Coturnix japonica: one gene and its partners. The protein of the gene in region 2 interacts with the protein of the main gene of each other region in a pairwise test. Links are inferred from orthologs where the notes say so. Each region holds a gene or a part of one and is shown on either strand. Other genes may lie near its edges. The genes, in order: RANBP9, OPRM1 and GJA4.

Evidence for each region.
Region 1: the proteins of OPRM1 (region 2) and RANBP9 interact in binary tests that used the Homo sapiens proteins (3 or more experiments, as listed by UniProt). The link is inferred for Coturnix japonica from reciprocal best matches to the Homo sapiens genes OPRM1 and RANBP9.
Region 3: the proteins of OPRM1 (region 2) and GJA4 interact in binary tests that used the Homo sapiens proteins (3 or more experiments, as listed by UniProt). The link is inferred for Coturnix japonica from reciprocal best matches to the Homo sapiens genes OPRM1 and GJA4.

Annotation. Positions count from the first base shown.
Region 1 is NC_029517.1:68,402,242-68,405,892, reverse strand, and holds part of RANBP9 (ran-binding protein 9), read right to left. Parts: intron 2,295-3,651; coding exon 2,104-2,294; intron 527-2,103; coding exon 379-526; intron 1-378. UniProt on the Homo sapiens protein: May act as scaffolding protein, and as adapter protein to couple membrane receptors to intracellular signaling pathways. Acts as a mediator of cell spreading and actin cytoskeleton rearrangement.
Region 2 is NC_029518.1:45,152,339-45,155,984, reverse strand, and holds the end of OPRM1 (mu-type opioid receptor), read right to left. Parts: intron 2,965-3,646; coding exon of another isoform or gene 2,926-2,964; exon of another isoform or gene 2,511-2,925; intron 2,447-2,510; coding exon 2,303-2,446; 3' UTR 607-2,302; downstream 1-606. UniProt on the Homo sapiens protein: Receptor for endogenous opioids such as beta-endorphin and endomorphin. Receptor for natural and synthetic opioids including morphine, heroin, DAMGO, fentanyl, etorphine, buprenorphin and methadone.
Region 3 is NC_029538.1:3,939,695-3,943,445, forward strand, and holds the start of GJA4 (gap junction alpha-4 protein), read right to left. Parts: upstream 2,800-3,751; 5' UTR 2,679-2,799; intron 2,628-2,678; exon of another isoform or gene 2,362-2,627; intron 1,970-2,361; 5' UTR 1,950-1,969; coding exon 918-1,949; 3' UTR 1-917. UniProt on the Homo sapiens protein: One gap junction consists of a cluster of closely packed pairs of transmembrane channels, the connexons, through which materials of low MW diffuse from one cell to a neighboring cell.

The DNA of each region.
Region 1 (3,651 bases), on a different chromosome or scaffold from region 2:
ACCTTCCAAAGAAGCACTTTGTTTTGAGGGTTCTTAAACTAATGTCAATGGTTTAAATTAGAATTACAAGTGAGCTAGGTGATCTTCCCTAAACAGCTTCTAAATTGAACACCAAAAGCTATAAGGAAGGTAAGTTTTCTTCATTGCATTTCTTTAACTGAATGGGAAAAAACAGTCTCTTCAGCTGGAGAAGTTAAAGCCAGAGCAGACTCAAGCAATCACGAACAGAAGCAGTATTTATCCTTTCCCACCAGTGCCCTCCAATGATATTTTGTAACTACTCTTGGAAGAAAAAAAAATTCCTCTAGAAACTCTTCTCTATAATAAAAACTATGTAGACTACATAAGCACAAACTGGAAGCACTGAAGTTTACTCACCTTGAATAGCTGTTAACCTGCTGAGATCTCGATACATTTATGTTGTTAAGCTCTGGTACATTCAAGCTGGTGGCTGTATGCTTACTGTGACAGTAAGACTGATGCCCTTTATTTGATATTACTCCATTACTGCAACTACTTTCAAACCCTGAAAGAAAGTTTTTATAGTTGTAATTAATTACAAACACGTTTGTAGATACCAATTTAACACAAGTGAAGTAAGAACCACATAATTGCTCCCAGCCACAAAATACTACATTTGTCAAAGAAATAATCCTAAAAAGGCAGACTCCAGACTTCAGGTATTCATTCTTTAAAAGGTTTCTACAGTACAGAAGTGAAAACATGATTTAACAAATACTTACAGATGGGAAGCTTTTTATTCAGTACTGCATATACATGAGTAAAACATAAAACTGAATCAACACAGAATCATTTAGAAACATTTCTGAAAGATGTAAAAACCTTTTCTAGGCCACTGTGGTAATAATTAAGAATGAAAGCAGCCATGCATCTTACTAATTCTTTATCACATAATTATCTTTGAAAACACACAGTAAAATTCAGTATTGAAACGTTTGCCATGCTGCTACACAAATACAACCCTCCTGCTTTCCTATATAATTATTTTAATTGCTAGTATTGTGCTTTGCTATATAAAAATTATACCATGCTGTGAAATTATCATGTCTGGCTAAAATTTCTTCTGACCCTTCTAAAATGTAATCAATGAACAACCATTTGAAGCAAATACATAATTGGCAAATCAAGCATAAATGTAGGAGCTCCCTAAACATCAACTAACCCAGAAATAGGTCACAGGAAAGATTTATTATTAAAAAACAAATGAAAGACCCCAACCACCTCCACCCCCCTGCCATTTTCTGCCATTCAGCAAATCCTAAATCTCACTGCTAACAACATCATTTACCAGCTTCCTTATTAAGCAGTGCCTCTGCTTTCAAAATAAGAAAGTTAGAGGTGCTTTCTACCATATATCATGATAAGAACCCAAGGAAACAACAGCAACTGAGTGCAACAAGACTAAAACACCTGAAGCAGCAGACGGTATTCTGGACTCCACAGAGAGAAGGAAAAACAAACAAGAAACCAGCAAAGCTCCCAGTCTGCTCCAGTTTAGATTTAAGAAAGAAAGAGAACTGAAAGCTGACCACCTCTACACGCTACCAAAGCGATACCGACTTCAGAGATGACATGCTCAAGTACCAGCGCTGGAATCTTTCTATTGGCATAGGGCAGATCTGAACATCTTCATCTCCCACTGAAGCTTTGCCACCACCATTAGGTGCTTTCAGAACAGTTTCAGCTGTGCAGATTGCAGTACTCAGCAGTATTTTTTTTGGTTGTTTAACCTAACTTGGCCACCCAGCTCCTGGTATTTCCTACTATTCCACAAACACCACAGACCATTTACTGGACTTCAGGCACTTTGCCTAAACCATGGATTAATACCAAAGCGACAACAGAAATTCACATCAGAACCTCCTACCTCACAGAAGCAATAATTTCTTAAGATTTCATATATACTATTTCTGTAGTGATTGGGAATAACGTATTTTGACTGTTAGGTCTCTGCTTCAATGCTAAAGGCCTCAGCCCCAACTGAAACAGTTTATCCACAGGTTCAATATTGGTGCCTTCTCCCAGTACTCAAAACCACAGAAAAAACTTTGTAGATGTGGTATATCTTTCGCATCAACTTACCAGAAAAATGTGTGCTGCTCCCTTTGCCTGTCGCCAAATTGTGAATATTCATTCCATGGCTGGGGCTCATGCTAGGACTATTAAAAGACCGTGGGCTAACAGGGTAACTATCTTGAGATTTTGGACTGTGGCCTCCCAAACACCGCACTTCACTGTCTGTACCATTCACCATCTCTATGAACTGGCGCACCCTAAACAAAAGACAAAGAAGTTAAGCTAACAAAACAATTCAAACACTTCAATTTACCAATGATAGCACTGATTTTAGCATTAAATACACTTTAAAACAGTCTGACTCAACAAAACGCTGGACGTCACTAACCCAATCATCAACAAATTGAGTATTGGCCAAAATAGGAAACTAGGAAGTTTAGGAGGGAGAAGAACAGGAATGTTATCTTTGAGGATGAGCTCTGGCAATAAGTCCTCAAAGTTTAGAGCACTAAAATGTATTTTTTGGTTAAACTGTTTTGTTTTATTGGCAGGGGCAAGTGTACTGCTTGAGAAGGATATATAGTTATCTTGCTGTGCCCATTATTTCTCTCAAAGATAATGAGAACATCATTTAATCCTTACTGTTCCAGGCAAAGTTTTTTTAACATGAGACATTTACACCAGAAAACAGTTTAGTAAGCAAACTCACATACAAACCTTCCCTTTAGAGGTGGTTACTCTGTCAATTTTATTTTAGGTAGAGATTTTACTATGGAGTTTGATGAAGCTTAGAGCTACTGCATAATGTTTTATGCTTAGGTAATCTTAATAGAGCAGGCAAAATTTGGCGAGACAGATTGAGATAAAGGTAACATACAGTTGACATTAGAGTGAGGGCTTTCATCAAATCACATTCTGTGGTAAGTCTGCAGTACTATCACGTGAATTCTGTTCAGCACTTGAGTGACAGACTTCAAACGTTTCAAGTAAATTAACTGAACATAAAAATTCTAGTGCTTTCTTCTTACAGGAGGAGCAGATTTTTTTTCCCCACATTCTAATGTTGTGACATGATAAAACAATCCTGGAGGATCAGCACAGCTGGCAAGTAGAAATGCCAGAATGAAGGTGAATGTTGCATGCCCATGAAGCTACAAGGACTCTGGGATTACTGAATTTTCACTGTATAATCCAGAGACGTTTGCAGTTTAGTGACAAGGAGTGCAACAACTCATCTTAAAGAGGTGTTTAATGTCAGTCAGCCATTTGGAGGAACAGACCAACTTATGCCACAAGACTCTTAACCTTCTTGCATACGACACTCTATCAGTTACATTTTAAAGTTTTACTTGACACTGAATCCGATTAAAATTCGTATTTAAAAATACAAAAACTCAGTACTAGAGGACAAGTCTACAGCAAGATGTGAATTATGCTGCAAAACAAGACCCTGATAACAAAACCTAGTTTAACACGTAGCAAATAAATACAGCATAAAGAAAAAAAACTACACATTTTCTAAAAAAAAGCTGCTTAACTTTAAGTTTCTGCAAAAACTTTAATTCTCTTTTCTCAGAAGGTAATTGTGTCATCTATAAACACACATCTGTATAA
Region 2 (3,646 bases):
GTTTTGCTAAGCTCAACTGTTTTGTGGTTTGATGGTGTCTATGAGACAAATGGAACATGGGGTTTGATGCAGTTTTGTGTTCTTTTTTTTTCTCTTGCTTTGGAATTCTGTTGTATTGTATCACTGGGCTAGTAGGACTACCAGTGGCAGCAGATACGTTCCTTGAGGACAATTGGGTTTTCTAGGGACTTGCATAGGCTGGGAACAAGATGAGAGCAGCTGCTGGCCTGCTTTGGATCACTTGTAGTCATCAAGAAATGTGTGCGCATAAGGGACGTACAGAAGGGCCATTAATATTGAAGATTTATTTGCTTTCTTCTACACATAAAACTCCTCTGAGGCCCTGTGTGCTGTACTATGCATTCTGTGTGTGTGCATTACAGAATCATAGGAATGGGTATGTACACCTCTTAAAAAGAAATGAACTATCTGCATGTCCTCCTTTTTAAATAAAACATGGTAGCTGTTCTTTAAAGCAGTCAGATAATATGAGAACATCCAAGGTGATGTGTTGGTATTGGTTGATAGCACAGCATTTTCTAGAGATGAGCTATTAAAAAAGGGCATGATGATCAACATGTGCTGTGATGTGAATACAGTATGTGCAAGTACACAAGCAACACAAGCATTTTTATTAAAGGATTACAATGAAGATACACAGATTGCGAAACAACATGATACTTTCTCCACAGCACTGCCAGCGAACATCCATGTCTTTTGATAAACAAACAGGGCATTTAACTTATTTTTGCTGATGTTCTGATAATAAAATTTGCTTCTTCATATCCTTGGACCATTATGCCTACAAAAACATTAGTACTACTAAAAATATTTACTGTGAGGTTGCTCAATTAATTATTGGACTGTAGAAACCTAAAATATCTTTTAAAACTTTTTGCTGTTGGCAAGTCATAGGATTTTACCTGTGAGCTTTGTTACATTCCAAGTATAGAAATGATGTTTTCAGTTCATTATGCAAATTCTGTAACAGCTAAGGTACTTCAAACTAACCATTAAACTATGATCTTAGTTTTCTTCCCAATTTACTGCTGAAGGCTTTTGTAATAGTTGTTCAGTGTATTTCAGTTTGGTATATTGTAGCATGGTAGACTGTTCAGATCATGCTAGACTCAGTGCTGTTGGACAGCACTAATTTGCATCTCTGCTTTAGTTTATGTTCTTGTTAGTTAAATAATACTGCTATGTAGTGCAAAAGAACACGTCCAATTTTTTTTTCAGGTTCCTATCCCATGCTTTTTTAAAGTTAGATAATGACAGATCTGGTTTAAAATTTAATGATGACTGTGAGGAAATCTTGCTAAACTAATGCAAAATTAAACATGGAACCTCTATGACAGCATGGCAGAATTTTTAACAGAAAATGGAAAAAAGGCACTTCTGCTACATCCAATTTCACATTATGCTGATATAAAACCTATTTATCTACACATTTAGCTTCACCACACTGATGAGACAAGAGTAGTGTTACTTCAATTTACAACTCACAAGGATTTGGCCTTCAGTCTTTATTACATAGTCCAAGGCAGAAACAAATGACTTCACACTAAAATCATATTCTGTTACACGAGTTTTAATAGTGAAATTAAGAAATAAATAAGAAGAAATAGAAAGAAAACCCTGTTCCATAGAGTTGTATTTTAGAGTACACTTAAGTATATTGCCCTGCCCCCCCACTTAACTACTGATGGTTTATTTACAAAGCAAGAAACAAACAATGGCTAGAAAATACTATTGCACCACAAGTTATCTACATGGATATCTCTATTTTCCATACAAAAAAACAGATAAGATGACATTTACTAGGATGACATTTACTTCGGTATGATGTTTCTTTCATAAATCTTCACATGTTTTACTAGATAACACAGAATGGAAATGCAGACTGCATTAAGTTAGTTAGAAAAGCAAACATGGGTTTGGTTAAGGGAAAAAAAAAATCTATCAAAATGTATATATATATTTTTAAGCAGCTCTGATGTGCTAACTCTTCCAACCAGTTCACACAAGTTGTTGACTTCCAAGTTTGAGATACTGCCAACAGGGCAGTTGAAATCTGGTAAACTAAAGAGAATTCATTGACAAGCTGATAGATGTACATCTATTCATGCAGATTCATGGTGGAGTTTACCGTAACAGTCAATGCTTTTTTAGGGATAATTCTACTAATAACAGCATGGGATATTTCCATTTACTCTTTTAGGTGAACTGATACCTCATTGTTTTGACTGTAAAAGTTCTTATATAAGAAGAGAATGGAGATGCTTAGAGGTTTTTCTTTTCTTTAAATTATCACTGAAGGAAATATTTTTCCTTTGAAGTTTTGGAATATGCAGTCTTTATAAGTGAAGAACTCTTGTTTCCAACATGTTGTTCTAGATGATCCTGTGAGACTTTGGCACACAAACAACCTACACAGAAAACACCTCTACAAAAAAAGAAATTTAAATATAAATCACAGACCCAACTTCATTTCCCATTATTTCCTGTCATTAAAAGCTCAACTTCTTTTTTTTTTCAAAAGCTGTCTGTCTTTTGTTTCCAACCTGTTTAACGCCATTCTAACTTGCCAGAGCGTATCAGATAGCTTTGTTTTAGACTAACAGATGTATATATAATATGACTGTTTTGAACAGTGCAGCTTGGAAAGCCCCCATACCTTTTGGCTCTGCTTGCCCTTGAGTTTCATGCTTCTGTTATGAGCAGTGTAGAAGTGCTGCAGAAGCAGTTTTTGACAGACTGGAAAAGCAGGCACTTTCCTCTATGATTATTCTTTTATTGTTGTTTTTGTTTTGGTTTTTCTCTTTTGAGGGAAAGCATATCCTACACCTTCCCATAGTAGACTGCACAGAAACACTGTGGCACTGGTTTGTAATTGCTTTGAGAGCTATACTGCAGCAGACCCTGTCACGGCAGTGGGGTGGTTTCAGCTTCTTGGAGTTCCAACTGAAAGGAAAGAAATTGCAAACACAATGAGCAATTACTTGTTTTATGCCCCCAGCCCCCCACCAGTCTGTGTGTTTACAGGGTGTGTTTTTAAATAGGTATTTACATCCCATTTGCTTCTATTATGCTGCCCTGTAAAGCTGAGCTGGCAACCCAGGAATCAGGGTGAACATGAGTCTGTCATAATACAACAAGGTAGAGAGAATGGTAAGAAACAAATTTTGGGTCTGAACTTTAACGACACAGAAACGAATCTTCAGTGCTGTCGTGTTTGCATGAGAGACTGTTTCATAGCCAGCCAGAAGTTTTCCTTCTAGTTGGGAACCCTCCATGAGTTTCACTTGTAGAGAAGGATTTCATTCACTCCCTGTATTGTATCTGTAGCAACTGCAGGGAAGCTGGTATTCTAGATGCTATATAAGTTTGCTTTCTGTGTTCACATCAGTAAATTGGCTAGCTCCTGGATTTGAATTTAAAAATCCAGTTTATATTCTGTGTGAGATGGACTTACATCAGGAAATAATCACAACCATCCCTCTGCCCTGGGTGCCCATAGTATCCAGGCCTATTCATGTACAGGCATGATATCCACACAGAAATTTTCATCAAGAAAATCTGCTTACTACACATCATATCCTGAAAACCTGCAACCTTTTTTTTTACTGCTCAGCAATCAGAAATT
Region 3 (3,751 bases), on a different chromosome or scaffold from region 2:
CTGCGCTCATGCTCTGTAGCTGCACGTGGTCCATGAGCAGCAGATGGAGCAGGTTCCTGCAGCCCCTTCCATCTCACAGCTTTGGTGGGCAGTGGTCCATTCCTCTGCCCCATCACCAGCACTACAACCCACAGCAGGAGATGACTAGTGCAAAGTATTAAAAACAACGACCCCCTCCAACTAGTTACTGCTATGCTAATTCCTCCCCAAAACCACTGGGCTCAAGGGCTTGGAGGCCTGGGATGGACGTGGCTCTCTGGTCCCCTGCACCACGGCACCTTTAAGGCAGAAAGCTCCGTGCTTGGGTCGGCACGTTAAAAATAACTTAAGAGACATCACATGGGAAAAGGTCCAGGGACAGGACACAGGGGGGGTCCCGGGGCACTCAGGGCGATGGGGACGTGCGGTGTGACAAATATCCCAGTGCAGGGTTAACCCCACTGTGGTCCACAGGGACAGGAGAAGCTCTGGCAGCAAAGCCCCAGCACGGAGCAGTGCCAGCTGTCTGCTGGGTCACAGGAAGGGGACACAGCCCACGGCCAGGACAAGAAGCTTCCCATGGTTTCACAGTGCTCCCAAACCAACAGTGGGACTTGATCTTGTCCCAGGGGCCAGCTGCATGGATAAGACCCCCTGCCAGCCTGCTCCCAGCCCTGGGGATTTTCTCCCTTTCCCACATTGATGCCAAGTCCCTCTGCCCTTCACACGCCGTCCCAGCACAACCCAGGGAAGTTTCCATGTAGTTTTCTTCCTTGCAGGGCCCATGGGGAAAACAGCAGAGAGCAGAGGTTGTGCTTGGGGGCTGGTGAGTTTGTAAGCATCAGGTCCCAATAGCAGGCACCACATCCTTGGGGTGGGCACAAGGAACAGTCCCCCAGTCCAAGCACAAAGGGACCAGGGATGGCCCCAGCCTGGCCCTAGACATACTGCTTCTTGGATGCCGAGCTGCTGGGCCGGCTGCACAGCTTCTCCTCAAGGACTGGGGCATCTGGAGCCCTGGGGGCGTAGGGGTCCGAGAGGGGCCTGGTGCTGCTGCCCAATGCCAGGTTCTCCTCATTGCGGAAGTTGGCCCAGTTCTGCTCACTGGAGAGCTTGTTGTAGGCCTGGTAGGGCGGCGTGTGGCTCTCGGACATAGGCAGGAAGGGGTAATGCTTGGCTGGGTAGGGACCCGAGCCCATGTCATCAGCAAAGGCACCCTGGCTCGGGCCAGCCGGCACCGGCACCTTCTTGATGTTGTTAAGCAGGCTCTTGCAGCAGAGGTGGAAGAGCTCCAGGAGGTTGAGGATTAAGGAGATGAGGCCCATCACCAGCATGAAGATGATGAAGATGGTCTTCTCGGTGGGGCGGGAGATGAAGCAGTCCACCTGGTGTGGGCAGGGGTCTCTCTTGCACACATAGCGTGGCACCATAGAGAAGCCATACAGGTACCACTGGCCAACAAGGAAGCCTGCCTCAAAGATGCTCTTGCAGATCACACTGATGATGTACGTCCACATCAGCGCCCCTTGGATCTTGAGTCGCCCATCCTCTGTCATGTAGATCTTGGACATCTTCTTCTCTACAGCTGCCAATGCTTGTTCAATCTTTGGGTCCTTGCTGTGGATAGCCCGGAGCTCATTCTCCTGCTGTTTCAGCTTCTCCTCCTTCCGCGAGAGATAGACAACGTGGCCCAGGTAAATGAGGGTCGGGGTGCTGACAAAGAGGAACTGCAGCACCCAGTAACGGATGTGGGAGATGGGGAAGGCTTTATCATAGCAGACGTTGGTACAGCCGGGCTGTTTGGTGTTGCACACGAAGTCCGACTGCTCATCTCCCCAGACTCTCTCTGCAGCCACAACCAGGATCATGATACGGAAGATGAACAGGACTGTGAGCCATATCTTCCCGATCACAGTTGAGTGCTCCTGGACTTGGTCCAGCAGTTTCTCCAGGAATCCCCAGTCTCCCATCTTCTAGGAGCCTTGTGCCTCTGGCAGCAGAGGGAGGAGAGGGGGATTGAGTCAATCCTGTATTCACATGCTGCATCCTTAAGCTTTCTCAGGACCTTCAGAAGGTCCCAGCAAACCCACTGTGAGGGCATGACTGGCAGCTCGCAGGAGCAGCCTAAACTCACCCCTCCTACAACCCAGCTCCAACAAAGGGCAGCAAGCAGCATGACTACAGAGACAGCGGCACAAAGCACTGAGTACAGCTGCCACCCCGACACCCAGGCAGTGCTGTCCCCACATTGAGTGCACAATCAGAGTCATTAAAGATGGAAAAGACCACTAAGCTCAGCCCAACCTCGCTGTAGGATAATTCCACCTCAGCCCCAAATTGTTCCCCCATAGCCCCCAGCCTGGGGGTCCCAAAGCAACTTACTACACACAGACCAGGAACTCCTTGGGGGGGACCCTGGTTGTCCCAAACGGAAGCTCTGCCGACCAGCCAGCCTGCCCCACATTCCCCCTCATACCACAGCCCTGCAGCCCAGCTGGGAAAGAGGAAGCAGCCACAGCCCTGACTCCTAATTAACCCCTGCCAATTAAGCACAGCTGGACCGTTAAAGGAACACGTCTCCCGGTGGGATGGAGAAATGCCCCGAAGCAGAAAAGCGGGTGCATGCAGAGAGCAGTGACCCCATCGCAAAGCAAAAAGTGATGCAGTGCAGGGGGTCCCGAGGGGTCCCACTCACTCACCGCCCGCCTGGCAGCGCTGGGCACGTCCCTTCTGCCTCGGGCCGTGCAGGTTGTGAGCGGCAGGGCCGGGCCGGGCTGCGGGGGCCGTGCGGGACCCGGGGGAGCCGGAGGCCGGGCCGGGCCGGGGCCGCCCGCTCCCACCCCGTCGGGGCGGGCCGGGGGCGGTGGGGCCGCCAGCACCGCCCGGGAGGGCTCCCGGTGACGGTGGGAGGCGGGGAGAGAGAAGTTGTACACGACCCAAACGCGAATCGTTGCCGGGGCCGAACGTCGGAGTCAATGCAGTACGGGACGGGCGGGGGGAGAGGAGCCGGCGGGGGGTCGGCAGCTCCATGGGGGAGACGGGGACAGAGAGCGGTGGGAATGGCTGTGTCCTGTTGTTCCCTGGGGAGAGTCCGGCGGCTGAGAGCCCAGCACCCGTTCAAAGCCCTTCTGCAGCCGGGGGCATCGCGAGGCGGCGGGGACAGCAGTGAGGACATCAGACGGGAGACGCTCCGGCCCCGTACGGCCGTACCCGGAGGATGCTGCCCTCGGCACCGCTCCGTTCCTGCGGGATTTGGGATATTTCGCTCCTCCAGGCGCTCGTGGAGCGGGGCCGTGCGCGGCGTGGGCGCTGGGTGGTGCTGGAGCCACACCGCAGGATGAGCTTGGGCAAAAGGCACCGAGCTGCGGCAGCCGTCGGGTTCGAACAGAGCCCGGCTGAGATAAGGGAGGGTTTGGGGACAGCGGGAGGTTGTGGGGTGGCACCGGGAGGCCGCGGTGCGGATGCTCTGAGTAGCTTTGCTCTTAGTGAGGGGACCGGAGATGCGGCTGATGCAGGAAAGCAGTGTAATTAATGCTGGTATTTTATGCACAGGGTTAAGTCCTGCTGCTCAGGGGGACAGAACCCCCATTTGTGTTCCCCCAGCTGCAGTGGGATGGCACACAGCACAGGCTGCATGGGAGCGGCAGGACTTGGGCAATCCAAGCAGAAACTGGGCCAAGGAGCTGCTGCCTCTCCCCACCAGGATGTGGCATTTTTTCTTCACAGACAGGTCTGAGCAGAGGTGGAGCCAGAACAGCCTTATTACGTTTAA